Linked DNA regions of Anolis sagrei. The protein of the gene in region 4 purifies or fractionates together with the protein of the main gene of each other region. This does not show direct contact. Links are inferred from orthologs where the notes say so. Each region holds a gene or a part of one and is shown on either strand. Other genes may lie near its edges.

What was found.
Region 1: the proteins of STX8 (region 4) and STX7 purify together in Homo sapiens (affinity purification with mass spectrometry; 5 studies listed by BioGRID and IntAct, counting the BioPlex papers as one, with this or other methods). This does not show direct contact. The link is inferred for Anolis sagrei from reciprocal best matches to the Homo sapiens genes STX8 and STX7.
Region 2: the proteins of STX8 (region 4) and VTI1A purify together in Homo sapiens (affinity purification with mass spectrometry; 3 studies listed by BioGRID and IntAct, with this or other methods). This does not show direct contact. The link is inferred for Anolis sagrei from reciprocal best matches to the Homo sapiens genes STX8 and VTI1A.
Region 3: the proteins of STX8 (region 4) and VAMP3 purify together in Homo sapiens (co-immunoprecipitation; 3 studies listed by BioGRID and IntAct, with this or other methods). This does not show direct contact. The link is inferred for Anolis sagrei from reciprocal best matches to the Homo sapiens genes STX8 and VAMP3.

What each region holds. Positions count from the first base shown.
Region 1 is NC_090021.1:81,872,319-81,879,435, reverse strand, and holds the start of STX7 (syntaxin-7), read right to left. Parts: upstream 3,021-7,117; 5' UTR 2,905-3,020; intron 2,328-2,904; exon of another isoform or gene 2,134-2,327; intron 1-2,133. UniProt on the Homo sapiens protein: May be involved in protein trafficking from the plasma membrane to the early endosome (EE) as well as in homotypic fusion of endocytic organelles. Mediates the endocytic trafficking from early endosomes to late endosomes and lysosomes.
Region 2 is NC_090023.1:208,325,335-208,333,033, forward strand, and holds the start of VTI1A (vesicle transport through interaction with t-SNAREs homolog 1A), read right to left. Parts: upstream 3,003-7,699; 5' UTR 2,830-3,002; coding exon 2,736-2,829; intron 1-2,735. UniProt on the Homo sapiens protein: V-SNARE that mediates vesicle transport pathways through interactions with t-SNAREs on the target membrane. These interactions are proposed to mediate aspects of the specificity of vesicle trafficking and to promote fusion of the lipid bilayers.
Region 3 is NC_090033.1:20,406,313-20,414,177, forward strand, and holds the start of VAMP3 (vesicle-associated membrane protein 3), read left to right. Parts: upstream 1-4,857; 5' UTR 4,858-5,017; coding exon 5,018-5,019; intron 5,020-7,865. UniProt on the Homo sapiens protein: SNARE involved in vesicular transport from the late endosomes to the trans-Golgi network.
Region 4 is NC_090022.1:125,312,950-125,319,941, reverse strand, and holds the start of STX8 (syntaxin-8), read right to left. Parts: upstream 3,021-6,992; 5' UTR 2,858-3,020; coding exon 2,841-2,857; intron 1-2,840. UniProt on the Homo sapiens protein: Vesicle trafficking protein that functions in the early secretory pathway, possibly by mediating retrograde transport from cis-Golgi membranes to the ER.

The DNA.
Region 1 (7,117 bases), on a different chromosome or scaffold from region 4:
AAGAAGAGCTTTGGATTTTTTGGATTTGCACACACATACATGAGATCTCTCAGAAATGAGATCCATGCCTAAATGCTAAATTCATTTATGTTTTATATATACCTTATACCAGGTATGGGCAAACTTCAGCCCTCTAGGCAGGTGTTTTGGACTTCAACTCCCACAATTCCTAACCGCTGGTAGGCTGTTAGGAATTGTGGGAGTTGAAGTCTAAAACACCTGGAGGGAGGGCTGAAGTTTGCCCATACCTGCCTTATACACACAGCCTGAAGGTAACTTTAAACAATATTTTAAATATTTTTATGCACTAAAACAAAGTTTGTGTACACTGAAGAAATCAAAGGTGTCACTATCCCAGACACCTACATGACCAATTGTAGAGCATTTCAGATTCTGAAATTCCAGATAAGGGATGCTCAAAGTGTACTTCATTCATCTCTAAAAAGCAATCACTCCTGACCCCTTATTTTCTTACAGGAAAAAGAGAAAACACGTGGCAAACCGTTTTATACATATTTACCATAAAATACTGAATCACAATCAATAATATAGTCTCCTTCTCTGGATGGGGATCTGTTGGGGGTGCTTTGATTATGTTTTCCTGCATGGCAAGATTGGACTGGATGGTCCCTGAGGTCTCTTCCAAGCCTATGATTCTATATCACTGGAGCACCTTCTTCACGGCCATATAAAATCCAGATTATCTGCTTTGAACTGGATTATATGGGAGTGAGTCCACGACATGCAAGTGTGGAGGAGAGAAAACCACAGACCACTTAGTACAAAGCAACCTGAGCCCTGCCACATGCATGATGTAGGATGTTCTTATAGTGACACCAGAAGTACTCCAAGTGGCCAGCTACTGGTGAAAGGACATTTAGCATAATGCCAAGTTTTTAACTTTGTTTGTCTTTTAAATACATTTCAATTGTGCCCTCAATTCACTTGTGACATGATAAATATCAATAAATCTAGTTCAAAGCACATAATGTGGATTACCTGGCAGTGTAGAAGAGGCCTGGGATAATCAATGTACTATTTTAAATGTTGTGGGCTGTTTTGAGTCTCATTTAAGAGAGGAAAACACGGTATAAAATATAATAATTATTGTATTATATTACGACGATCTTCACTTGAACTTTCTAATGTATATTTATAATTGTTTAATGTATATAACTGTATTTTATGCTATGTTTTGTTGTGTCAGCACTAAATAGTGGCCTGTTGGAAGGCGTCCTGAGTCCCTCTTTGGAGGTTGAGAAGGACGGGATAGAAATGCTCTAAATAAATAAATAAATTATTGTGTTATTGAAGGCTTTCATGGCTGGAATCACTGGGTCACTGTGAGTTTTCTGGGCTGTATGGCCAGGTCTCAGAAGCATTCTCTCCTGACATTTCACCTACATCTATGGCAGGCATCCTCAGAGGTTGTGAGCTGCCATTGATGTTGGCAAAACGTCAGGAAAGAATACCTCTGGAACATGGCTATACAGCCCAGAAAACTCACAGCAACCCAATAATCTATATAAATAAAAATGTAATGATAGTTTGTGGGATTAACATAATGCAAAAACCACTGGATGAATTGACATCAAATTTGGACACAATACACCTATCAGGCCAACGAGTGACCATCACTCCTAAAAACAAAACAAAAAACACACAGTGGAAAGGACTTAACCCCCACCCCCACCCCAACAAAAAAACACATTACAGCACATGACCAAAAATGACTCCCTGCAAGGCTCGCTTCCCAAGCAAGAAGTAGAGAAGGAAGGAAGGACAGGAAAAAAGGAAGGAAGGAAAGAGGGAGGGAAGAAAGGAGAGAAAGAAAGGGGGGGGGGAAGAGAGAAGGATGGAGGCAAAGAGTGAAGGAGAGAAAGAGGTAGTGAAGGAAGAAAGAGAAAAAAGAAGGGAAATAAAAAGGGGGAAAGAAGGAAAGAGATTGAGAATGAAGGAAGGAGAGAAGGAAAGGAAAAAAAGGGAAGGAAGGAAAGAAAGAAAGAGGGAGGGAAGGTTGGCCACAGCAACGCCTGGCAGGTACACTAGTACTTATTATTAGCCAGTTACATTCATCCACAAAGAATGGAAATCCAAAACACAGAAGAGAAGGATGTAAGGAAGCCTACACACGCCCAATAACAACAACAACACAATCCGCGCCCCTCCTGAGGCGATTCCCCCCAGAAGGAATGCCCAAGTGGAAGCAGTGGCTGCCCACACGCCACCATCACGTGTCCCGGCTGCATTGCTCCCTCTGAGCGTGTCACGCCTGCAAAGACACGCATTCTCCCCGGCCTAATGCCATTCCCCTTAATCCGACGGGGTTGCGGGGTGCCTCCGTGGAGAAGCCGTGATTCCTTCTCATCACGGTCACATGATGGCTCCACCCAGGAGGAGAGGGAGGAGACACCAGAAAGGAAGCCTTGTTTTCCATGGCTGGCATCATGTGCCACCCTCCCATCCCTGGGCAGGCTCCACCATTCGCACACAAACACACAGGGAGGGGCGTGTTGCTGCAGAGGAAAGGCAGGAAGGAGAAGAGGAAAGGGAAGAAGAAGGAAAGGGCGGGGAAGGAAGCAAAGGAGGGAGAGGAAAGGAAGGAAAGAAAGGAGGGAAGAGGGGAGGGGAAAGAGAGACAGAAATAAGGGGGAGAGGGGAAAAGACGGAAGGAGGGAAGGGAAGGGAAGGGAAGGGAAGGGAAGGGAAGGGAAGGAAGGAAGGAAGGAAGGAAGGAAGGAAGGAAGGAAGGAAGGAAGGAAGGAGGAATGCGGGCTGGCGCCTCCCTCCTCCGCCCCCTCTAGGCAGGCAAGCAGTCATTCCAACAAACAAGGGAGAGAGGAGTCTCTGCCAGAGCTGCATTCGGGCAAGCGGGAGGGAGGGAGGGAGGGAGGCCGCCCTTACCTCTCAGCCCCGCTCAGCACCGCGTCCCCATCGGGCGAGCCGGGTTCCGGGCTCCAGCTCTCTGGCGCTCAGCTGATCAGCCCGGGTGACCACGCCCCTCGGCCAAGCTCCGCCCACTCGCTGCCGCACCAAAGGGAGGGGCGCTGCCTGGCCCCGCCCACTCCCGGCCTTTCCGCTGACTCTACACAGCGCCGCGTCGCCATTGGAGGGATCGTGCAGTGCCTTCTTTTCACCGTCTGAAGTCCTGTGGCTTCCTCTTGGGGCTTGTAGTTCAGAGGAGGGACCTTTAAAATGCTCAGCCAGCCTCACTAAACTACAAGCCCCAGAATTCTCTGGGAAAGAAGGCAGGCACAGGATTTCAGATGGGATGCGTGCTCTGTTTTCAGCCCTAGTGTGATTAGGCACTAATCGGAGGACTGCCTCATAAACGCCTCCAAGGACCTTATCAGACAGCAGAGCCCCCGGTGGCGCAGTGGGTTAAACCCCTGTGCTGGCAGGACTGAAGTCCGACAGGTTGCAGGTTCGAATCCGGGGAGAGGCGCATGAGCTCCCTCTATCAGCTCCATGCGGGGACATGAGCAAAGCCTCCCACAAGGATGATAAAAACATCAAATTGGCCGGTCCCCTGCGCAACCGTCCTTGCAGACGGCAAATTCTCTCACACCAGAAGCCACTTGCAGTTTCTCAGGTCGCTCCTGATGCGACAAAAAAAAAAAAATCATACAGCAGTCTTGAGACTTACTTACTTACTTACTTAGGCGATCCTTCCTAGTCCGAGTAGGATTGTCTTCCAATATCGGTGTACTGACGGTGGGTCCGTAGGTAACTATGGAGCCCTAATCTTGATCTGCATCTTCTCCCACAGTGAGGGCATTGGTTTCCAGGTGGAAGGCAGTCCCGGTCGGGGTTGGCTTGATGCACCTTCCTCTTGGCACGTTTCTCTCTTTTGCCCTCCATGTGTGCCTCTTCAAATTCTACAGCACTGCTGGTCACAGCTGAGCTCCAGCTGGAGCGCTCAAGGGCCAGGGCTTCCCACTTCTCACTGTCTATGCCAGAGTTTGTGGTGATAGTATGATAGCTAGGTCCGGAAGTGCCGAGCGTTACGCACATTCCGCAATAGCGGTTGTGAATAAGGGAAGGGGAGAGCGGCACACTGAGGGCGGGAACATACTTTAATTTGGTGGAAGGATAGAAAGGAGGGGAGGGTTAGGATTAAGGTTTAGGGTTTGGGTTAGAATTAGGCTTAGGTTTAGGGTAAGGACAGGGGTGGCTCAACCCATTACGCAAAGTAAGCATTTACAGTATAGTTGATTTTGCCCAGGGGTGCTCTTGAGGCGCTCTTGGGAGGAAATGGACCTTGACATATGTGGGTTGTAGTTACTGGGATGTATAGTTCACCTAAAATCAAAGAGCATTCTGAACTCCACCAATAATGGAATTGAACCAAATATGGCACACAGAACTCCCACGACGAACAGAAAATATATATCTGATTGGTTGGGGGGGGGGGGCAAAAATACTGTTTGCTTACCGTTGAAAATTATTTAGGGCCACCTCTGGGTAAGGTTAGGATGGGTTAGGATTGGGGTTTGGGTTAGGATAAGGGTTAAGGGCCGGGTTTAGGGTTAGGGCTTTACCATTAAAGAATTCTTACATTCCTTCTATATCTGTGTTCCGTTCTGCATTGTGCAAACAGGAGCGAAGCGGAAACAGCGTAAGGCTCAGAGCTTCCCGACCCAGCTTTCATACTATTACCAAGGTTTTAAGGTTGGCTTTGAGCCCATCTTTAAATCTCTTTTCCTGCCCACGCTCATTCTGTTTTCCATTCTTGAGTTTGGAGTAGAGCAACTGCTTTGGGAGATGGTGGTCAGACATTCGAACAATGGCGGGTCCAGTGGAGTTGATGGCGGAGGACCATCACCTCAATGCTGGTGGTTTTTGCTTCTTCCAGCACACTGACATTTGTCCACCTGTCTTCCCATGAGATTTGTAGGATCTTTCGGAGGCAATGCTTCCGCATCACACTTAGACAATGATATGTCTCCACTCCCAGCTTTTTTTCTTCATGCAAACCTGCCAGAATCTCTTTCCATTCTGTCCTTAGCAGCGAGCTGTCATCCCTCTTTAGGGAAGAGCATAATAACTCCTCCCCTTGAATTTTTTTTACAAAATATTACAGCATAATATAGCATAATAGTGGCATTGGAGAATAGATGGAAGGGTAGTTTTCCTTTAGTGGTTTGTTCCAGTTATAATATTGTACTTAGCAGAGAGCTGCCATCCCTATTTATAGAAATGCATGATTACTCCTTCCTATGGAAAACAATGGTATCCGTGCCTCAGAGGGTTTAGATCAGTGGTTCCCAACCTTTTTTTTTTTTACCTGGGACCACTTTGACCAGGATCCACCTTTCAACATTAGTATTAAAAGGGTTATGAATCTGTTTTGGTCAACTTTAGATCGCATTGGATAGACCCCATCAGTTCTAGTTTCTGATACAGAACATATGCTGAACATTAAGATCGTCTGAACGTATGCCGACCAGAACATTAAGATCGTCTGGGGAGGCCCTGCTCTCGATCCCGCCTGCGTTACAGGCGCGCTTGGCGGGGACGAGAGACAGGGCCTTCTCAGTGGTGGCCCCTCGGCTATGGAATGCCCTACCGGCAGACATCAGACAGGCACCTTCGCTGCTGACGTTTCGGAGAATGGTTAAGACCTGGCTTTATGAACAAGCGTTTGGTTAAGCAGTGCAACCAATCATAGGAAGACGGTAAATGGAACATAGGAATGGCACAAGGATTATGAGAACGGATCTGATTTCAACTGAGGTGTTATGTTATGTCTGTTTTGTTGATCTGTCTTGTTGATTGTTAACTGTTGTGGATTGATGCTGTTGATCCTGTTTGTTGCATTGTTATGTTTTAATTGCACTGACACTGTTTGATAATTGTACCATGTAAACCGCATTGAGTCGCCTGTTAAGGGCTGAAAAATGCGGTATAGAAATAAAGCAAATAAATAATAAATAAATATGCCATCCAGTAGTCGCCATTTGCTCACCCACAGTATTCTGACTATAGAAAGTCAAGTGGGCCAAACTACAAAGCAAACATAGTATCACAGATGCATGCTGGGGCATGACACATAGAAAACCATATTTAATAAGCCTTGGCACTATAAGAGGGTTTTGCGATATCAGTCACTCTCATTGCAACGGTGTAGTAACAATGTATTGTCAAAGGCTTTCATGGCCGGAATCACTGGGTTTTTATAAGGTTTTTTCAGGCTGTATGGTCATGCTCCAGAATCATTCTCTCCTAATGTTTTGCCTGCATCTATGGCAGGCACCCTCCCAGGTTGTGGGGTCTCTGAGGACCTCACAACCGTAGATGCCGATGAAACGTCAGGAGAGAATGCTTCTGGAACATGGCCATAGATACTGAAAGACTTACAAAAACCTGGTGTACTAACAGTGAGGCTGTGGATCATATTTCTGTTCTTGCGGACCACTGGTGGTGCACAGATCACAGGTTGGGAGCTACTGTTTTAAAGGAAAGAACTGGCAAAACCACCTTTGAGTATTTCTTGCTTGAGAAAATATGCAATTTGTGTGATAGGTAATTTGAAGGCACACCTCTCTCTCTCTCTCTCTCTCTCTCTCTCTGCTGTGCAAAATTTCAATTGTAATTCATTTGTCGTATCTACAGGGTGAGGCAGCATAACTTCCTTTTTTCAAAACTTAATCAAACCCATTGTATGAATCAGAAATTTTTATTTTTATAATGTAGGCGCTTACCTAAAGTTTTGTTTTACGTAGTTTTGAAGATCAAATTAGGTAGGTGACATCCCCCATTCTCCATACACTAAACTGAGTAAAATGATTTCTGGCGTTTGTCATGATTTAATAGCAGGCGTTATGTTGGCAATTTCTTCCTGGATGTTGGTCTTCAAATCTTGTATGGTCCTTGGATGGTTCACATAAACACGGGATTTCAAAAAACCCCATAGAAAAAAATCACAAGGGGCCAAATCTAGAGAGCGGGCTGGCCACTCCAAATCTGCTCGAAAAGTAGGCCTCAACGGCAAAAGCACGCTCCTCACTATTCCAACGCATGATGGCAACTGAACTGTGTCAGTACAAATCTTTATACTCCCGCCTCTCGAACAAGACCTCTAGCACTCCGCTACGTCTTCAACCAACTGAATAGC
Region 2 (7,699 bases), on a different chromosome or scaffold from region 4:
TTCTCACAGGCTCCCCTTCCTGTCATTTTAAGCATTGTGTTTGTCCTTATATTCTTCATTAAGACCTGGATTTAAAGCATCAAAATTAAAATACCATTCTTTCTATAATCCTTGCCCTTCTGTCTGCAGAGGAGACAGGATTAATGCTTTGTTAAGGCTGTTTTTTCTCTAGAGGAGACATGGACTGCAGGTTCATGCTCTCGCACTCTCTGCAGTAGGTAGTTTTCCAAGGCATTTTCAGTAGGCTTCCCATTTCCCAGGGAAGGAAAAGGGATTGACCTGGAGGCATCCTACCCTGGGCTTCCTTTAAAAAGCCCTCTCTTCTCTCTTGATTTGAAGGTGCTGGAGTGGAAAGGAGAACTAACGTGCCTTCCCCCCCCCCCCCTCACACTTCAATCTCCTTTCTGCTTACAAATCAAGAAAGGGCTTAAGGAGCCTCACTTGTTTGAATCCTTTTCCTTCTAGTGGCTGCCTACCTCCCTGCACTATATGTGTAACCGAAAGAAGTCAGTTTTCAACAGCCACTGTTTTGTTGTGACCAGTAAAAAAATGGTGGCAGAGTCCATGCCACTATGGGCTTCCAAACCAACTGAACAAGCCAAAGGCAAACATCCATAACCCTAATGCACACCCTTTAATGTATTTCCCAGCTCAGGAGGCTCTGAAGCCACACATTTCCTTGGGGAGGGAGATGGGAGGAGGATTGGCTCACAGAGTAAATCATTCACACGGTACTCACACCCTCACCACACCTTCAGAGTGAAAGAGAGGCAAACAGGTCAAGATCCCACCACATGGGATTCCCCAAGGTAAAGGAGGCACATGTTGTGCCCATCTGAACCTGGAAACTGCCCCCCCCCCCTTCACAAGAAGCACATGTTTTAGGAGACATAACTGGCCTGCATAGTCAACAAACAGTCTGGGTTCAAGTGCAATAGAGAGCGGTGGCGTCAATAACAGTCCAAAGTTCTTCACAACAATCAAGGCCCAAGTTGGTTGGGTTGAGGCAAAAAAGTAGTTAAGCAGTCCGTTTTCAAGCACTAAGCTAGTTATACAAGAGAGATTCCTTAGGTGCTGCTCTGGCAGCGGTGGAAAGAAAGATCTGCAGTCTTTTCCACACTTATTTGGGAAGAAACCCAACTGAGTTCAGCGGGATTTCCCACTCAGGATGAATTTCCCCGCTTTCAGGTGGGTGCATTCAACATTAAATGAAAACTTTATTCCAGTGGGGGGAAATGGTGTTGTTTCAAGGTACTTCTGCTTCAAAGTGGATGAGTAGACTCCAAAACTGGGACTCAACCACAAAGAAGCCGTGACATACATACACACACAGTGAGCAGCATTAATAAAGTTTAGCACCACTTAACAGCCTTGACTTAACACTTAACAGGGAGGCCCTGCCTTCTTCACAGGTGCAACTGGCGGTGATGAGAGACAGGTCCTTCTCAGTGGTGGCCCCTCAGTTGTGGAATGCCCTCCCTAGGGATATTAGATCAGCCCCCTCCTTCCTGACCTTCCGTAGAAAAGTGAAAACATGACTTTTTGAGCCAGCCTTTGAGAACCTAGTGAAATAGATAAATACAGAATTATGTAAAATCCTATACTGGAACAGCTTAGACAATGATTTTGGACAATGAGGCTAATTGTGAAGGTAGTGGCTTTATATGATTTTTAAGGTTTTTATGTATGTATTTTATAATGCTATTTAAATGTTTATTGTAATTTTTACACTGTTTTAATGGCATTGAAGCTGCCTATATTGTAAAGTTGCCTTGAGTCACCTTCGGGTTTGAGAAAGGCGGGCTAGAAATATAGCGTAAAAAATTAATTAATTAATTAATTAGTCCCAAATGCACTTTAGTAGAGATCTAGGATCGTCTGCATGCCCCATCTATCTTCAAAATACCTATCCTATTTCACCTGGTCACCTGGTCATGCCCAGTATTTTTTAACAATTTTAATTATTACACTTGGCCCTATCATAGGTTCTTTTAATGTGTCGTGGTGTTATTGTTAATGTTTACTGCTTGTTTACGAGTTTATTGATGTATTGTTGTTTTACTGATGTATTTGGGCTCAGCCTCTTGTAAGCCGCACCGAGTCCTTCGGGAGATGGTAGCGGGGTACAAATAAAGGTTTATTATTATTATTATTATTTTGTCGTGTCAGGAGCAACCGCTCCTGTTGTGACAGAATTGGCCGTCTGCAAGGACGTTGGATGATTTTTGATGTTTTATCATCCTTGTGGGAGGCTTCTCTCATGTCCCCGCATGAGGAGCTGGAGCTAATAGAGGGAGCTCATCTGCCTCTCCCTGTCGGTCTTCAGTCCTGCCGGCACAGTGCTTTAACCCACTGCGCCACCGGGGGCTCCTATTATTATTATTATTAACAGCCTTGATTCAATTATATGAAATCTTAACAGCTGTACTTAACCACAAAGAAGTCCTGACATATATACACACGCACAGAGAGAGAGAGAGAGAGAGCAACATTAATGAAGTTTAGCACCACTTAACAGCCTTGGTTCAATGCTATGAAATCTAAAGAACTATACTTTTACGAGGCCTTTGCCCTTCTCTGCCAAGGAATGGAGGTGCCTCACCAAACTACAACTCCCAGGAGGCCACAGCATTGAGCCATGACTGTTAAAGGGGTGTCAAAGGCCCTGCCAAAGCAAGGGGCGAGAGGAAAGGCAGAGGGGCCGGGAAGGAGCCCCCCTCGGCCCCAGGACTCACCTCCCAGCAACTTGGGCACCTTCCCGATGCGGTTTGTGATCTCAGCGCTGAGCACCGAGAAGTCCTGCTCGTAGCCCTCGAAGTCTGAGGACATGGCGGCCAAGGAAGGACAGGCCTCGGCGGCTAGATGGGCGGAAGGGAGGCAACAGAAGCCCACAGGTAGCCCGCCTCGGAATTGGGGGTGCTCACGACCCGCGCCCCCCCGGATAACGCAAACTCAACTTCGCCGCTGCTCCTGTCAGGGCTGTACTTCCGGGTTGAGCGTCACCAACAACAGTCCCCTGAGGAACCTCATCTCGCAACCAAGGTTCCGGGTGCTCGTCCCAATGGGAATGGAGGGCAACTAGAGTCCATCATGGATGATGATGATGATGATGATGATTATTATTATTATTATTATTATTATTATTATTATTATTATTATTATTATTATTATAATATCTGGAGGCATGCCTTTTAGACTTTGTTTCATGCACAAAAACATTTCAAAGACTGCATATACATAGTCCATATCAGACTATGTGCATAAGATGTACATCATACCTGAATAAATTACACCAGGTAACAAAATTCGGGGGGGGGGATATTTTCCTGGTTTGAAAATGTTATTTCCTGTTTAATTGTGCAGTGCTTACTCTAAAAGTAGTTGTTCTACTCCAGAAACTACATTTTTATGGCTTTTTTTGGTCATGTCAGGAGTGACGAGAAACTGCAAGTCGCTTCTGGCGTGGCTGCACAAACTATGTTGAATTGGCTGAGACTCTATTCATTGAAAAACTATAGCAAAATATGCTGCAGGATGTTGCACAAAAGCAAAGCTTAATTTTTTTAAAAAAAATCCCATGTTTTTATGATAGCCCCAATTAGGAAATGACATTGATAACACAGGAACAAAAATGTTATGACTTGGGTCCCACCTCCAAGATGTCTCATTATGTAGAGGCAAAATATTCCAAAATCCGGGGGGGGGGGGGAGGAAATCCACACGTAAGAGAGACATTAGGGTGCATCTACACTGTAGGGGCCTCCTCGTGGTGCAGCAGCTTAAACTGCTGAGCTACTGACTCAGCAGTTTAACTGACTAATGTAATGCAAATGTAAGTAAATCAATAGGTACTGCTTCTGCAGGAAGGTAACAGTTTTCCATGCAGTCATGCTGGCCACATGACTTTGGAGGTGTCTACAGACAACACTGGCTCTTCGGCTTAAAAATGATCTAAAGATTGATCTTTTAAAAAACTGCATGACTTCTCAGAGTGCCCATGAGCACATTTCCTCAGAAAATATTAAGCCAGGTCGGCCCCAACCCTCCTAACATTTCGAAAAAAAGTTTAAACCTGGCTTTTTGAGCAAGCTTTCCCAAATGCAGTGTAGCAGACAAACTCTGATCTTCGGAACGACTGGACAATGTGATTGGGTAATGAATTGAGTAATGAGACGCTGTGGATTTAGACTTCTATCAGTTTCATTATATTTTGTCAAATGTTATTTATGCTAAATGTTTTAATTGTTCTTTGTTATTGTGGGCAGCAAATTGTACTGTTTGTAAACCTCCCTGAATCGCCTTCAGGCTGAGAAAGGCAGTATATCAATATTTATTTATTTGTTTGTTTACAGTATTTATATTACGCCCATCTCACCCCGGAGGAGACTCAGGGCAGATTACAATGTACACATATATGGCATACATTCAATGCCAAAGATGCACAACAGATATAGACAAACAGTCAGAGGCTATTTAACTTTTTCTGGCCGCCAGGGGAGCTGTTGCTTTCATCGTCCATCTGCAACGCTGATTAAGTACTTCCGCATTCCCCGCATGCTTTTGCTGGAGTCTTTTTTATGGCCTCGTAAATTTTGTTAAATTTTTGGGGGCCCGGTGGCGCAGTGGGTTAAAGCACTGAGCTGCTGAGCTTGTTGACCAAAAGGTCGCAGGTTCGATTCCAGGGAGCGGCGTGAGCTTCCGCTGTCAGCCCTAGCTTCTGCCAACCTAGCAGTTCGAAAACATGCAAATGTGTGTAGATCAATAGGTACCGCTCCGGCGGGAAGGTAACAGCGCTCCATGTGGTCATGCTGGCCACATGACCTTGGAGGTGTCTATGGACAACGCTGGCTCTTCGGCTTGGAAACGGAGATGAGCACCACACCCCAGAGTCAGACATGACTGGACTTAATGTCAGGGGACAACCTTTTTAACCTAAATTTTGTTAAATTAACCTCCCCACACATAGGTGCTACCTACTTTTCCTACTTGGCAGATACAACTGTCTTTCGGGTTGCAAAGGTCGACAACAAGCTACACAACTGGTCGGAAGCTCACTCCGATTTGGGCTGGCTTCGAACTCATGACCTTGTGGTCAGAAGAGACAGCCCCGATGGTTAATAAATAATAAATAATAATAGTCAGGCACAACTAGACTTAATGTCAGGGGAAAACCTTTATCTTTACCATACAGTGTAGAATGAATGCAGTTTTGGCACCTCTTTAACTGCCATGGCTGAATTCTATGGAATCATTGGATTTTCACAATGTTTTGAGCCTCTTCCGCCAAAATGTGCTGGTGCTTCACCAAAATACACGATTCTCTAGCATTGAGCTAAAGTGGGATCAAACTGCACTGATTCTTCTGATGGCTTTGCGTGCTGAGAGGTAAGAGGAGGGACTCATTTGCGGGCGGACTTGCCAGGCTGTTGAGGGCGAGGCGAAGTCGGGGCGGAAGTGAAGGGTTTTGCGCATCCGGGCTCCCAGACAAGGTGCCCGGAGGCGGGGAAGTGGGCGAAAGGAGCGAGGGCGGGCGCGCCAAACAGAAACATAACGGAGCCAGAGGCTGCAGAGGAGGCGGGAGTCCCGGGCCCTGTCCTGGTAAGGGGTCACGAGGCGGGTGAGAGGGGTGCGGGACCTCCCTGGCTCTGCTTGGGAGCCTCTGCTTCATCTCCTGGGTCCAAAAGCAGGAAGGAGGAGGGAGTGGCTGGTGGCCATTGCCTCCAGGCTTCTTTCTCACACCTCTGGCTTTGCCTTGGCCATCCCTCCTTCTCCCTCTCCTTCTTTTCAGGGGATTGCTCTCCATCACAGCTCTGCACATTTAAGAGTCATCAAATCTCCAGAGAGAGAGAGAGAGAATGTCATATGTTAATAAAACCAGAGTGCATTAATATAACTTATGATATAGCACAATATCTTATGTAATACTAATAGTATAATATACTGGTAGTGTAATTGTGGTATAATAATATGGTAAGGGTAAAGGTAAAGGTAGTCCCCTAACATTAAGTCCAGTCATGTCTGACTCTGGGGGTTGGTGCTCATCTCAATTTCTAAGCCGAAGAGCCAGCGCTGTCCGTAGACACCTCCAAGGTCATGTGGCCGGCATGACTGCATGGAGCACCGTTACCTTCCCGCCGGAGCGGTACCTATTGATCTACTCACATTTGCATGTTTTCGAACTGCTAGGTTGGCAGAAGCTAGGGCTGACAGCGGAAGCTCATGCCGCTCCCCGGAATTGAACCTGCGACCTTTCGATCAACAAGCTCAGCAGCTCAGTGCTTTAACCCACTGAGCCACCGGGGGCCCTAATAATATGGTAGAATCTATATAAATAAAAATGTAATGTACGTTTGTGGGATTAACTCTATATAAATAAAAATGTAATGTACGTTTGTGGGATTAACATAACTCAAAAACCACTAGACAGATTGACACCAAATTTGGACACAATACACCTATCAGGCCAACGAGTGGCCATCACTCATAAAACACTGAAAAACACAGCAGAAGAGACTTAAAAGCTAAAAAATACATTACAATGCACGCGCATAACCCACATATATACACAAATATACACACACATATATATACACATATACACAGACTAGGCCACAGCAACACATTGCAAGGGGCGTCTAGTAAAATAATATAATTGTATATTATATATTACATGTAAAATTACTAATAATATTGTAGTATAATGGTGGGGGCCCCCGGTGACACAGTGGGTTAAACCGCTGAGCTGCGAAACTTAGAATCATAGAATCAAAGAGTTGGAAGAGACCTCATGGGCCATCCAGTCCAACCCCCTGCCAAGAAGCAGGAATATTGACCAAAGGGTCACAGGTTGGAATCCAGGGAGTGGCGTGAGCTTCCGTTGTCAGCACCCAGCTTCTGTCAACCTAGCAGTTCGAAAACATGCAAATGTAAGTAGATCAATAAGTACCGCTCCGGTGGGTGGGAAGGTAATTGCACTACTTGCAGTCATGCCGGCCAGATGACCTAGGAGGTGTCTACGGACAATGGCGGATCTTCGCCTTAGAAATGGAGATGAGCTCCGATCCCCAGAGTCGGACACAACTGAACTTAATGTCCTTTACCTTTTGTTGTTGTTCATTCGTTCAGTCACTTCCGACTCTTCATGACCTCGTGGTCCAGCCCACGCCAGAGCTCCCTGTTGGCCGTCACCACCTCCAGCTCCTTCAAGGTCAAGCCAGTCACTTCAAGGATACCATCCATCCATCTTGCCCTTGGTCGGCCCCTCTTCCTTTTTCCTTCCTTTTTCCCCAGCATAATTGTCTTCTCTAAGCTTTCCTGTCTTATTATGTGGCCAAAATACTTCATCTTTGTCTCTAATGGGTATCACTTCAGCGGGAAGGTAACAGCACTCCATGCAGACATGCCAGCCACATGACCTAGGAGTTGTCTACAGACAACGTCGGCTACCTTCTTTGCCTTCGTCTCTTTACTACAGAAAAATACCAAATGTGTCATCAAATTGCTAACAAAAAAGATACAAAAAGCCTCGTGAACATAATTTTCAGTGAAATTGGAGAATGGTAGCATTAACTATCACGAAATCATGATCTAAGTTTATTTAATGCTTTAAATACATTTACCACTTGTATTTAGAGTTCTATAGCAGTTATTATTATGCTTGCCTCACTTAGAAAGCATGGGACTCACAAGAAAGCGTCAT
Region 3 (7,865 bases), on a different chromosome or scaffold from region 4:
AGGGAAAGAAATGCAGAAAAAGTGGGGGAGAAACACAGGAAGAAAGGGAGAAACGAAGGAAGAAAGGGAAAGAAATGCGGAAAGAGTGGGAAAGAAACACGGGAAGAGAGGGAAAAATGCAGGAAGAAAGGGAAAGAAATGCGGAAAAGGTAGGAGAGAAACACGGGAAGAGGGAAAAACACAGGAAGAAAGGGAAAGAAATGGAGGAAAAGTGGGAGAGAAACACGGGAAGAGAGGCTAAGAAACACGGGAAGAAAGGGAAAAACACAGGAAGAAAGGGAAAGGATGCGGAAAGAGTGGGAGAGAAACACAGGAAGAAAGGGAGAAATGCAGGAAGAAAGGGAAAGAAATGCGGAAAAGGTAGGAGAGAAACACGGGAAGAGGGAAAAACACAGGAAGAAAGGGAAAGAAATGAAGGAAAAGTGGGAGAGAAACACGGGAAGAGAGGGTAAGAAACACGGGAAGAAAGGGAAAAACACAGGAAGAAAGGGAAAGAAATGCGGAAAAGTGGGAGAGAAACATGGGAAGAGGGGAAAATGCAGGAAGAAAGGGAAAGAGATGCGAAAAGAGTGGGAGAGAAACACGGGAAGAGAGGGAAAAATGCAGGAAGAAAGGGAAAGAAATGGAGGAAAAGTGGGAGAGAAACACGGGAAGAGAGGGAAAGGAACATGGGAAGAAAGGGAAAAATGCAGGAAGAAAGGAAAAGAAATGCGGAAAGAGTGGGAGAGAAACACGTGAAGAGAGGGAAAAATGCAGGAAGAGAAGGAAAGAAATGCGGAAAGAGTGGGAGAGAAACACGAGAAGAGAGGGAAAGAAATACGGGAAGAAAGGGAAAAACGCAGGAAGAGAGGAAAAGAAACATGAGAAGAGAGGGAAAACGCAGGAAGAAAGGAAAAGAAATGTGGAAAGAGTGGGAGAGAAACACGGGAAGAGAGGGAAAAACGCAGGAAGAAAGGGAAAGAAATGCAGAAAAAAGTGGGAGAGAAACACGAGAAGAGAGGGAAAGAAATACGGGAAGAAAGGGAAAAACGTAGGAAGAGAGGAAAAGAAACATGGGAAGAGAGGGAAAACGCAGGAAGAAAGGGAAGGAAATGCGGAAAGAGTGGGAGAGAAACACGGGAAGAGAGGGGAAACGCAGGAAGAAAGGGGGGGAAGCGGAAAGAGTGGGAGAGAAACACGGGAAGAGAGGGAAAAACACAGGAAGAAAGGGGAAAACGCAGGAAGAAAGGAAAAGAAATGCAGAAAAAGTGGGAGAGAAACACGGGAAGAGAGGTAAAGAAACATGGAAAGGGAAAGACGCTGGAAGTGTGGGAAGGAAACGTGGAACGAGAGGGAAAGAAACATGGGGGAAAGGGAAAGAAATGCAGAAAGGGGAAAATGCAGAAAGAGGGAAAGACGCAGAAAGCAGGAAAAACTGAACGAGAGGGAAAGAAATGCAGAATGAGGGGAAGAAATGCGGAAAGAAACGGGAAGAGAAGGAAAGAAACATGAAAAGAAAGGGAAAGAAATGCGGGAAAGGGGGAAAGAAACACATAAAGAGAGGGAAAGAAATGTGGGAAGAGGGGAAAAGAAACACGGAAAGAAAGGAGAGAAACACTGGAAGAGGGGGAAAGAAATGCAGAAAGAGGGAAAGATGAAGGAAGAGAGGAAAAGAAACATGGAAAGAAAAGGAAAGAAAAACTGAAAGAGGGGGAAAGAAACGTGGAAAGAAAGGGAAATAAATGTGGGAAGAAAGGAAAAACTCGGAAAAGGGGGGAAAGAAGTGCAGAAAGAGGGAAAGAAACGTGGGAAGAAAAGGGGGAAAAGGGAAAGAAACGCAGAAAAAGAGGGGGACAATTGTGGTTTTTTGATTGACTACGACTGTATATCCTGCGGAGGCGCTGTTTTGATGTGTGGCCTGACAACCGGGATGCATCCCATCAGCTACAATCTTGCAATAACTTCCAGGCTTCGTCACGGCGCAATATTAGGGGGGAAAGGGTTTAAAAAGTGACCACAAGGAGGCATTTGAATGGATTCGGAGGAGCCGGCCTTCCACGGCAGTGTGAGCTGAAGTGGTTTCAAAAGGTAAGAATCCATCTCTCAGGGGTGCTTTGAATGCGATTTCTGGGTTTGAGCCTGCCACTTTTGGACTCTCGCTTGCTGGGGTGTTCCAACGAGTGTCTCTGTAGGTCTTAGGAAACTATTTCTTGATTTAAGTCGTTGACGTGCTGGCTGATACCCAAACAGGGGATGGGCTGGAGGTGTCTCTGCCTTGGTCCTTTCACTATTGGCTGCTCCTTCCCGGCGGATGTCAGGTGGTGCAATACCGGCTAAGCAGTGTAATGTCTCCAGTGGTGTAGGGCGCAGACACCCCGTGATAATGCGGCATGTCTCATTAAGAGCCACATCCACTGTTTGAGCGTGGTGAGATGTGGTCCACACTGGGCATGCAGATTCAGCAGGAGAGTTATCATGTGAATGGATTTATATCTATCTATATATATAAATGCTCTGTGCATCATGAGTCCCTTAAAAACAAAAGAACCAATGAACGAAATCACACCAAATTTGGCAACAAAACGTCTCACAACACAAGGAGTGACCATCACTCAAAACATTATGATTTTGCCCTTTGGGAGTTGTAGTTGCTGGGATGTATAGTTCACCTACAATCAAAGAGCGTTTTGAACCCCACTGACGTTGGAATTGAACCAAACTTGGCACACAGTTCTCCCATGACCAACAGAAATATACTGGAAGGGTTTGGTGGGTAGTGTCCTTTGGTTTTGGAGTTGTAGTTCACCGACATCCAGAGATCACTGTAGACTCCAACAATGATGGATCTGGACCAAACTCTACACGAATACTCAATATGCCCATATGTGAACACTGGTGGAGTTTGGGGAAAATAGAATCTTGACATTTAGGAGTTGTAGTTGCTGGGATTTATAGTTCACCTACAATCACAGAGCATTCTGAACCCTATCAAACTTCCCACACAGAACCCCCACAGCAACGCGTGGCAGGGGACGGCTAGTAATAAATAAATAAATAAATAAATCATAGAATCAAAGAGTTGTAGAAATCTTACAGAATCATAGAATCAAAGAGTTGGAAGAGACCTCATGGGCCATCCAGTCCAACCCCATTCTGCCAAGAAGCAGGAATATTGCATTCAAATCTTCTTTGATGATTTCTCCCTTTTCCCACTTCTTGTGCATGTCTCTTTTGAGTCGTAGCACAGTTAGAAGTTCTTTGGACATCCATTCTGGCTTCTTTTTGCACTTGTCCTATTTTTCCTCTTTGTTGGCACAGTTTGCAATTGCGCCTTGAGTATTTCACTCTTGAGAAATTCCCATCCCATCCGTGACCAGGTTGGTTCATCAGGTGCTCTGCTGTGGCTGACTTCTCCAGTTGAGCTAGTCTACAGGGCCTTTCATATTCTTTGATTCATGCCTGGGCAATGCTGCTGCGTTGGGGGTCTCTATTGAGAGAAGCCCGGGAGTGTGGCGCAGCTGGCTGAGTGTCAGATGCATTAAGATCACTCTGACCAAAAGGTCATGAGTTCGAAGCCAGCCCGGGTTGGAGTGGGTTTCCAATCAATTGTGTAGCCTGTTGTCGACCTTTGCAACCCGAAAGACAGTTGCATCTGTCAAGTAGGAAAATTAGGTACCACCTTAAAGTGTGGGGAGGCTAAATATGTGAGAGGAAGCCACAGGGAGGAGGGAGCAAACTTGTTTTCTGCTTCCCTGGAGACTAGGACGCGAAACAATGGCTTCAAACTACAAGAAAGGAGATTCCATCTGAACATGAGGAAGAACTTCCTGACTGTGAGAGCCGTTCAGCAGTGGCACTCTCTGCCCCGGAGTGTGGTGGAGGCTCCTTCTTTGGAAGCTTTGAAACATAGGCTGGATGGCCATCTGTCAGGGGTGATTTGAACACAATATTCCTGCTTCTTGGCACAATGGGGTTGGACTGGATGGCCCATGAGGTCTCTTCCAACTCTTTGATTCTATGATTCTATGAAATAAATCATAGAATCAAAGAATTGGAGAAATCTTCTTTGGTGATTTCTCCCTTTTTCCACTTCTTGTGCATGTCTCTTTTGTGTCTTAGCACAGTTAGTTCTTTGGACATCCGTTCTGGCTTCTTTTTGCACTTGTCCTATTTTTCCTCTTTGTTGGCACAGTTTGCAATGAGGAATTCCCATCCCATCGGTGACCAGGTTAGTTCATCAGGTGCTCTGCTAGGGCTGAGTTAGTCTAGAGTGCCTTTCATATTCTTTGATTCGTCCCTGGGCAATGCTGCTGCGTTGGGGGTCTCTATGGAGAGAAGGCTGGGATTGTGGCGCAGCTGGCAAAGTGTATGCAATCAAAGAGTTGGAGAAATCTTCTTTGGTGATTTCTCCCTTTTTCCACTTCTTGTGCATGTCTCTTTTGTGTTTTAGCACAGTTAGAAGTTCTTTGAACATCCATTCTGGCTTCTTTGCACTTGTTCTATTTTTCTCTTTTTTGGCACAGTTTGCAATTGCGTCTTGAGTATTTCACTCTTGAGAAATTCCCATCTACCCATGACCAGGTTGGTTCATCAGTTAGTCTACAGTGCCTTTCATATTCTTTGATTCGTCCCTGGGCAATGCTGCTGCGTTTGGGGTCTCTATGGGGAGAGATGGCCCCCAGGGTGTCTTCCAACTCTGGGATTCTCTGTCTGGGAGGAATACGAGCCCTTCCCAGGCCAAAGGCAATCCCAAGGCAGGGCGGTGCTGCGCCTCTCCCAGCTGAAGGCAATCCAAGGGCGGCCAGGAAGGAAAGCACTCCATGAAACTCTGCCCAGCTGTTGCTCCAGTGTCTCCACCTCTTTCTCTCTCTGCCTGCCTCTGGGGGCCCTTTCCCTGGCCTTGGGTTGGGCTCCCTTCCTTCCTTCCTGGAGGAGGGGCCAGTGCCAAAGTGGGAGAAGCAGCAGCAAGAGCAACCGGAGCAGCTAAGAGACCCTTGGAGAAGAGCTTGGATTGTCCCCCTCCTCTTCCTCTGCTATCATGTGAGTGACCCCTTTCCCTCCTCCTTCCCTGTTTCCTCCCCCCACAATACCAGGCCACAACACTTTCGTTTTCAGCCTTCCTTCCTGGTTCTCTGGGGCTGGGCCCAGCAGCGCCTTGAGACACACCACAAGCTCTGCCTGGGGGGGGGGGGAATCCCCCCCACAAGGCAACCCAGGGGTCTCTGCAAAGCCAGGGGTGAAAGCAAAGCAACGCGTTGCTAGTAAATAAATAAATAAATAAATTATAGAATCAAAGAGTTGGAGAAATCTTCTTTGTTGATTTCTCCCTTTTTCCACTTCTTGTGCATGTCTCTTATGTCTTTGCGCCTCTGAGAGTGAGCCCACAACAAGAAGACCAACTTGGGAGTGGAGGCAAGAGGCCTTGGAAATACTCCAACCACAATGGGAGGCACACTCCTTGCTTACTCTTCCCACTCTCAAGCGAGAGGCGTGCAATGGGACACTATGCAACAAAACGTGCAAAATGTTTCTGCTTTGAAAGTGTTGCTTCCTGTGTCGTTGTGCGGCACTTCCTACTCCGGCAACTTTGTGTTTGGTGGTTGCCACAAAGGTTGGGAACTCAATGAGGGTGAAACAACCTGAGCAAAACGAGCTGGAAGATGTGAAAAGTTTGGGCAGCTTAACAAACTTTTCCCAAGTTTTGATAATAGAACCAAATAAGGACATTTATAACCCGGCAACAAAAAAAAAATCGTGTTACATAGTATTATAATAATATTTATTATACCCACCTCTCCTCTTGTATTAATAATAATAATAATAATAATAATAATAATAATAATATTGTCCTTATTTCCTCCTTGGTTCTATTATCAAAACATGGGAAACATTTTTTAAGCTGCCCAAACCCTAATAATAATAATAATAATAATAATAATAATAATAATTTTATTTCTTACCCACCTCTCCTCTTCTATTATTATTATTATTATTATTAAAATTTATTTTCTTATTTTATTTATTAATAATAATATTTTTATTTCTTACCTGCCTCTTGTATTATTATTATTATTATTATTAAAATTTATTTCTTTATTTTATTATTTATTATTAATAATAATACTTTTATTTCTTACCTGCCTCTCCTCTTGTATTATTATTATTATTATTAAATTTTATTTTATTATTTTATTTATTATTAATTAATAATAATATTTTTATTTCTTACCCATCTCTCCTCTTCTATTATTATTATTATTAAAATTTTATTTTCTTATTTTATTTATTATTTATTAATAATAATAATATTTTTATTTCTTACCCACCTCTCCTCTTGTATTATTATTATTATTAAAATTTATTTCCTTATTTTATTTATTATTTATTATTTATTATTAATAATATTTTTATTTCTTACCTGCCTTTCGTCTTGTATTATTATTATTATTATTATTATTATTATTATTAAAATTTATTTCCTTATTTTATTTATTATTTATTATTAATAATATTTTTATTTCTTACCCGCCTCTTCTCTTGTATTATTATTATTATTAAAATTTATTTATTTATTTATTATTATTATTAATAATAATATTTTTATTTCTTACCTGCCTCTCCTCTTGTGTTATTATTACTATTATTAAATTTTATTTTCTTATTTTATTTATTATTAATAATAATATTTTATTTCCTACCTGTCTCTCCTCTTGTATTATTATTATTATTATTATTATTATTATTTTAATTCTGACTCGCCTCTCCTCTTGTACTACTATTATTACTATATATTATAACAAATAATGATAATAATATAATTTTATTTCTTACCAACCTCTTGTCTTATTTTATTTCTTACCCGCCTCTCCTCTTGTATTATTATTATTATTATTATTATTAAAATTTATTTTCTTATTTTATTTATTATTTATTATTAATAATAATACTTTTATTTCCTACCCGCCTCTCCTCTTGTATTATTATTATTATTATTATTATTATTATTGCCTAGTTTCCAACAGGCCTCACAACCTCTGAGGATACCTGCCATAGATGTAGGCAAAACGTCAGGAGAGAATGCTTCTGGAACATGGCCAGACAGCCCAGAAAACTCACAGCAACCTTATTATTATTATTATTATTATTATTATTATTATTATTATTATTGCCTAGTTTCCAACAGGCCTCACAACCTCTGAGGATACCTGCCATAGATGTAGGCAAAACGTCAGGAGAGAATGCTTCTGGAACATGGCCAGACAGCCCAGAAAACTCACAGCAACCTTATTATTATTATTATTATTATTATTATTATTATTATTATTGCCTAGTTTCCAACAGGCCTCACAACCTCTGAGGATACCTGCCATAGATGTAGGCAAAACGTCAGGAGAGAATGCTTCTGGAACATGGCCAGACAGCCCAGAAAACTCACAGCAACCCTATTATTATTATTATTATTGTTATTATTAGTTTATTTCTTAATCACCTCTCCTCTTGTATTATTATTATTATTATTATTAATACTAATAATAATAATAATAATACAATACTCCTCTTGTACTACTACTATTAGTACTATATAGTATTATAACACATAATGATAGTAGTATTGTCGAAGGCTTTCATGGCCGGAATCACTGGGTTGTTGTAGGTTTTCTCGGGCTATATGGCCATGGTCTAGAGGCATTCTCTCCTGACGTTTCGCCTGCATCTATGGCAAGCATCCTGAGAGGTAGTGAGGTCTGTTGGAACTAGGAATGACCAGGGTGGGACAAAGGACTCTTGTCTGCTGGAGCTGGGTGTGAATGTTTCAACTGACCACCTTGATTAGCATATAATGGTCTGACAGTGCCTGGAGCAATCTTTTGTTGAGAGGTGATTAG
Region 4 (6,992 bases):
AGAGAGACAAAACTGGTCCCAAACAGCCAGCTTAACTTGTTGCAGAGTACAGCAAGGTTACTAACCTTATCAAAGAATTTTCAGTGGAAAAACTTTCCATGCAGGAAAAAGGTGCATGTGCTAAAATTATCTCCACTGTAGACAAGTCACACTCTCTCAACCTCTGAGGAAGGCAACAGCAAACCTGAACCAATCTTGCCAAAAAAAACCCTATGTGATGGGTTCTCCTTAGGGCTGCCATAGGTCAGAAATGACTTAAAGACACACAAGTGAGAGCTACCAATGGAGAAGAGGAATGTCCTTTGTTGGCATCAAATCATCCAACTTGATTTTATCCCCACCCAAAGTGGAAAGATCTAATCTACACACACACACATATACCCAATGGCTCATCACAGCTCAAGTATAGAAAATTTGTGGGAGAGACCACTGTTTAAATGTAATACACCTTCCAACTATTTTTAATTTATTGTTTTAATTACTGAGTCTAACTGGCTTTAGGATCAAGCCTTTGGAGAAGGGCAACAGAATATGTTCAATGATTATTTGAATGGCCCTGGATTACATTGATGGATGGCGTAGTTTTAATAATGGATATGTTTTTAACTGTTTAATTTGTATTAATTTTAATTTTACATTAAAGGTTTATTTTAATAGTATGTTGTTTTCAAGGCATTGATAGCTGTCTACGTGTAAAGCCACCTTGATTCCCCTTTGGGTTTGAGAAGGGCAGGATATAAATATGAAAAATAAATAAATATTTTAGTTATGTTTGATTAATTTATTGCCCTGCTTTATTATTATTTGATATTTGATGTTTAAGATGTTATCACCTTTGTGAGATTGTTTATTGTTTTCCTGCACTTTATGGCATTGAATATTTGCTGCTATATGTTGTATAGCAGCAAATTTATCCAATTTATGCTTGCTCCATCTATAGTGTTGCCCCTATGATGCACTTTTCCCCATACTAAACTGAAAGCCTACCCCACTGTTTATTCTTTTGGGGTTCCCCTCAATTACATATTCTCTTTCCTACCTCATCCAGGGTTTTATCATTTTACCCCATCTATTTGGCCTGCCCATTCGGTTCGATTTTATATTGTGTTAATTTGTTTTATTTATTTTGCTCCTGTACGTATTTTATTTTGATGTATTTTTTGTTGTCTGCATTCTGTATTTTATTTTGTTGTATTGTAACTTTGGGCTTGGCTTCATGTTAGCTGCCCCGAGTCCCCTTTGGGGAGATGGTGGCGGGGTATAATTAATGTTTATTATTATTATTATTATTACTACTACTACTACTACTACTATTATTATACCGCTCTGCGTCCCCTTGGGGAGATGGGAAGAGAAATAACATCTTATTATAACTATGGAGCCCCCGGTGATGTAGTGGGTTAAAGCGCTGAGCTTGTTGACCAAAAGGTCACAGGTTTGTTTCCAGGGAGCGGTGTAAGCTTCCGCTGTCAGCTCTAGCTTCTGCCAACCTAGCAGTTCGAAAACATGCAAATGTGAGTAGATCAATAGGTGGGAAGGTAACGGCGCTCCATGCAGTCATGCTGGCCACATGACCTTGGAGGTGTCTATGGACAACGCCGGCTCTTCGGTTTAGAAATGGAGATAAGCACCAACCCCAGAGTCGGACATGCCTGGACTTAATGTCAGGGTAAAACCGTTACCTTGTATTATAACTATTCATATCTGGCAAGAAAATTGAGTATTGTGGTTTGTATAAGATGCTGGTCCTGGCCTTTAAAACTTTATATGGCCAGGGTCCATTGTATCTTAGAGACCATCTCTCCTTCTACCATCATTGGAGGTCGCCACGACCATCCCAACGCGATTTGCTCTATATGCCGGGTCCTAGGGAAGTGCACTTGGAAAGCACCAGACGCAGGGCCTTCTCTATTTCTGCCCCTGCCTTATAGAATTCCTTGCCTCCCTATTTGAGAGCCATGCGTGACTCAGGGCATTTTATCCTAGCACTTAAGACCTGGCTTTTTACTCGAGCATTTGACCCATGTTGATTTTAATATTTGTGTGTATGTGTTTTATCCTGTATAATTTCTGCTATGTAAATCGCATGGAGCATCTCGGATGGAGGGCGATTAATAAGTAATTAAAGATGATGATGATGATGAAAAGCCTGAATGAGACCTATGCTATTCCACTTTTTCACCTACTTGAAAAATGACCCTGACTGCATCTAAACTGCAAGATCAATGAAGTTCGACACCACTTTAACTGCCACAGATTAATGTTAAGAGTCCGTGGGAGTGAGATTGAGATATGAGATTGCTGATAGTCCTCTTTGGCAGAGAAGGCTACAACGCCCAGCATCCCACGGCATTGACCCATGGCATTGGCCCAAGTGGTGTCGAACTGCACTGGTTCTACAGTGTAAATCAGGCATGGGCAAACTTGTGTCCTCCAGGTGTTTTGGACTTCAACACCCACAATTCCTAACAGCCTCTGTCCCTTTCCTTTTCCCCTTCAGGCGCTTAAGGGGCCTGAGGCTGTTAGGAATTGTGGGAGTTGAAGTCCTAAACCCCTGGAGGGGCCAAGGTTGCTCATGCCTGGTGTAAATGCGCCCTCAGTTTCTCTCTCCAGCCCGCCCCGCGGCCTTGCATGGGTGCGAAGAGTGTCAGGTGCAGGAGGGCAGGCAAAGCAGTTTCCCAAGTGGGCCGAGCTCAGCAAGGAAGCCCGTCCTTGACGTGACTGGAGGAGGGCTGCTGGTGCCCGGCACAAACGGAGGCCTAAGCCGGCTTGGCTTCTCCCTGCTTAGGGCGGAAGGGTCAGGCTCCGCCGCCAGCTCCCTCCTTCCCTCCCTCACTCACCAGGGGTCCGGAGCCATGGCCGCGCCCTACAACCGCCTCAGGCTTTGAAAAGTCTCTCCAGCTCTATGCCGGCAACAGTGCCCACTGAGGTCACCTGACTACGACGAGCCGAAAGGCTCACAATACTAACGTAAAGGAGGGCGGAAGTGCATCCACTGACAGGGAAAAGCAAAACAAAGACCGAGGAATGGAAAAGGAGGAGGAGCGCATGCGCGAACGGCCTGCCCATCAAGTGGCTGCGGCAGGGGATTGGCGGAGAGGAAAGCCACGCTGTCCAATTATAGCTGCCTTTGGCCCTCCAGGTGTTTTGGACTTCAACTCCCACAATTCCTAACAGCCAAAACACCTGGAGGGCCCATGCTTCCACTCCAGCCTTTCATTTTTAACCTTCCATGCTTAGTCCACTAGAGGGCGGTACAGGTTGAGTATCTGAAATGCTTGTGATTTTTTTTCCCACCCAGATTTTGGAATAGCTGTATTTGTATACAATGGGATATTGTTGTCCAGCAATTTAGAATGGCTGTGGATAGTGACATCCAAGCCGCTGTGGGTTTAACCTGGTGAGAAAAAAAGAAACCAATATTCCAGAATAAATCTTCTCAAGTGGAAGCAGAAGCCACCGAGGTATTTATTTTTGTTCCAGCAGGAAAAGGATGACAGCTGCAGTAATCTGCTGAAGAAATCACCATGGTTCTGATACAGAAAACTAGACCAGGGTCCTCAAACTAAGGCCCGGGGGCCAGATACGGCCCTCCAAGGTCATTTACCCGGCCCTTCCTCAGGGTCAACCTAAGTCTGAAACAACAACAACAATCCTATCCCATCAACCAAAAATAGGCTCACACTTCCCATTGAAATACTAATATATTTATATTTGTTAAAATTGTTCTTCATTTTAATTATTGTATTGTTTTTAAGTGTTTTTTGCACTACAAATAAGATATGTGCAGTGTGCATAGGAATTCATTCATTTTTTTTCAAATTATAATCCGGCCCTCCAACAGTTTGAGGTATTGTGACCTGGCCCACTGTTTAAAAAGTTTGAGAACCCCTGAACTAGACAATATATACAGGGTTTTTTTCCATTCAAATTTCCCGCCCCCCTGAGCTGGCTTCGCTGTGATTGGCTGTGACATCAGCAAGCTGGGAGGAGTGGCCGGGGACTGGTGCAGCTCGTCCAATGGGAGCCCAAGCCCCACTTCGGCTGCTCAGCCAATAGTGTGCAAGGAGACACGGCCACAGTAAAAAAAAGGATGGATCCCTGGGATTGTGGGGAAACATACACAGAGGATCAGTGGGTCTGTGAGGGCCCAGCCTAAGATAAAACAGCACAGTTGGGACCAGGATTTTGGGGAGAGATAGGATATTATGGGCTGGTAGTTATGGGAGTGGGAGTGGAAGAGGATGAAAAAGGCAAAAAGGAAACAAAACAGGGCTTGAGATATGAAAAGTCCAGTATCATCAAAGGTGAGTCAAAGATTATACAGAAAGCAAGAATAGGCAGGAAAGATGGGATTTCAGAAATAAAGGGCATGGTTATAAAATATTATTTACTTAGCATTCCCTTTTGTTTGTAGTTCATTGACTAGTATGGGGGACAACTAGCACAGTTGTTAACTCATGTTTTAAGGTGTTTGCTTAGGTTTCATGAAATCTAGACTAAATGTACCCACTATCTAACATGGGAAAGGTCCTTGTGGTTGTTAGTCTTCTGCAGATTGGCCAAAACTGAACTCTTATTATATCATTCCAGCCTGGTGTCCTTGGCAAAACTGTGAATTCCCTAATTATGAACTATCTTTTATTGGAGGGGTGGGGGGACCTGGGGCTAAAAATGTTATTTATAATGATGTCATGTTGTCACATTTGCCAAAAAGTAAGAGATTAATGAAAGTAAAAATAAACCTATGATAAATATTTAACTGATCATTCCTTCCATTGTTTGCAACCCAAACACCTGATTATGCAAGGGTCAAATGTGTGGTTTATACTATCCTCAAAGACGAAGCACTTGGGGGATAGTCGAAACATTACATTGGGCTGGGAGAGAGAGGGAGGATAATAAAACTGTGTTTTCGAGGGTTATTTTTACAGAATATTATAATCACATTTTTGCTAGATACACATTAAAGTGTAATGATCCTTCTAGTATGCCTATTCACCAGACAGCAGTGAAAATAGAAATAATAGCAATACGTAATAATTATATAGCACTTTATTTAAATGCTTGAACTGTTCAAAATCCATTAGTAATATTGGTAAACTTATATCTCTCTTGGATCACACTATTTGATGTTAGTTCTCTCAGTGAAATAATGTCCAAGTGCCGTTTTTATCTCTCTTCTCCAGCTAAAGAAAGTTTATGTACATTATGCTATTACAACAGTTTCATCCCACTCTAATGGTCCTGACTTCATTTTAAAGTGTTATCTACTTTCCAAACATTTCATGTTGATGACACAATTTAAAGACACGTGCCATTTCACAACACAGCAATTCAGTTTTAATAGCAAACTGGAAGTTAAACTAACCCCTTATAAGAGATTTGGGATTTCATCACACGATGGAAATTGAGTGTCCTAGAACACTTCTGCCCCAGTTGACCCATGGAGCCCATGCCACCCATCACACATCGTAGCCTCACTTTCAGAGGGGCTTCATGGCTCAATTGGAACAATAAGGCTACCGCTTCCAAGTGTGATAGGGAAGCATCAGCTGGTTGAGAGGCGGGGCATGGGGTGCTGGGAATGACTGCTACCCACTGATTTGGCACAGAGGCTGGTGAACCCTGGACCTCATCAATGTGAAAAGGTCCAAAGACACATAGATAAATTGTAAAAATGAAATATGCACAACATATTTCATGAAAGCTTTCTCTCTTTCTCTCTCTCTCTCTCTCTCACACACACACACACACACATAAATACTCATTTCACATAGACTCAGATTTCTCATTATGTTCATGGGACATGCCTACACACTGCAGTCGACACACACATGTCTTGCAACACAGAGTTTGGAAAGCTCTCATCTGCTGGTTCTTTAGAGAGGCACTCAGAAATTCTCTGTTGCACTGAGTGCTTCCATTTGAACAGTACATAAAATACTGTAGCAAACTAGAGATTTCTATCAGAATAACAACAACAACCACAATTTTATTTATATCTCCCCAAAGGGGCTCAGGGTGGTTTCCAATAAAAAAAATGGCAAACATTCAATGCTAGAATACATGAACAAAGAGAATTAAACAACAACGCCCCCCAGATTAAAATAAAAATTATAACAGGTAAACAAAAATTAAGTAATAACATAACCGATCGACCACTGCAGAGTATTCTAAGTACCCTTCCAAAGAGTAAATTTTAGGATTACTTAAAATGGAATAACAGTTAAAGTAGTATCTAACTGTTGCAACAATATAGTGTGGGCATATTCTTGCATGTGAAGACTAAACTCTTGACAAATAAAGATGTTAAAGATCATGCAGAGCAAGACGAGTGATGATACAAGTGTCACAGCTCTACATTTTGTCTCAGATGTTAATAGTCCGGAGGAAGCAGTTACAGCATCAGAAGATTTTTTTTATTACTTTCCCTTTTTCAAAATTTGGGATTAATGTTTTAGCAACACATTTTATAACAACCTCAGGTAAGATTTGGATTTCAGGATTCACGTCAATTGGTTTTCACCGACAGCAAAAATATTTTTTCAGAGGGGATAGGTATATTAATTCTGTTGTGTGAAAAACAATCCAAGGTGTCTGATAACATATGAAGACTGTAACAGATATATTATGGCATATGCTTTTATGGGCAGATGATTTATTATGACATCAACAAAGACAACACCACATGGTTTTTAATTCAGGGCCTTTCTACCCAGCCATATAACCCAGAATATCAAGTCAGATACTCCACAATATCTACTTTGAACTTGCTTATCTGAGTCCACACTGCCATGCAGTATAATGCAGTTTAATGTGGATTTTATGCAACTGTGTGGTAGGGGCCTCAGTTTGCAGCAGCCTAGGAACATGAAGGGGAAGGGTATAACATGTATCATGATTATGAAATTTAAGTTGATTAATTATAAATTATACTGAATTAAATTTACACAGAAGTTTCCAAGTTGTCTAGACTATTGGAAGACACC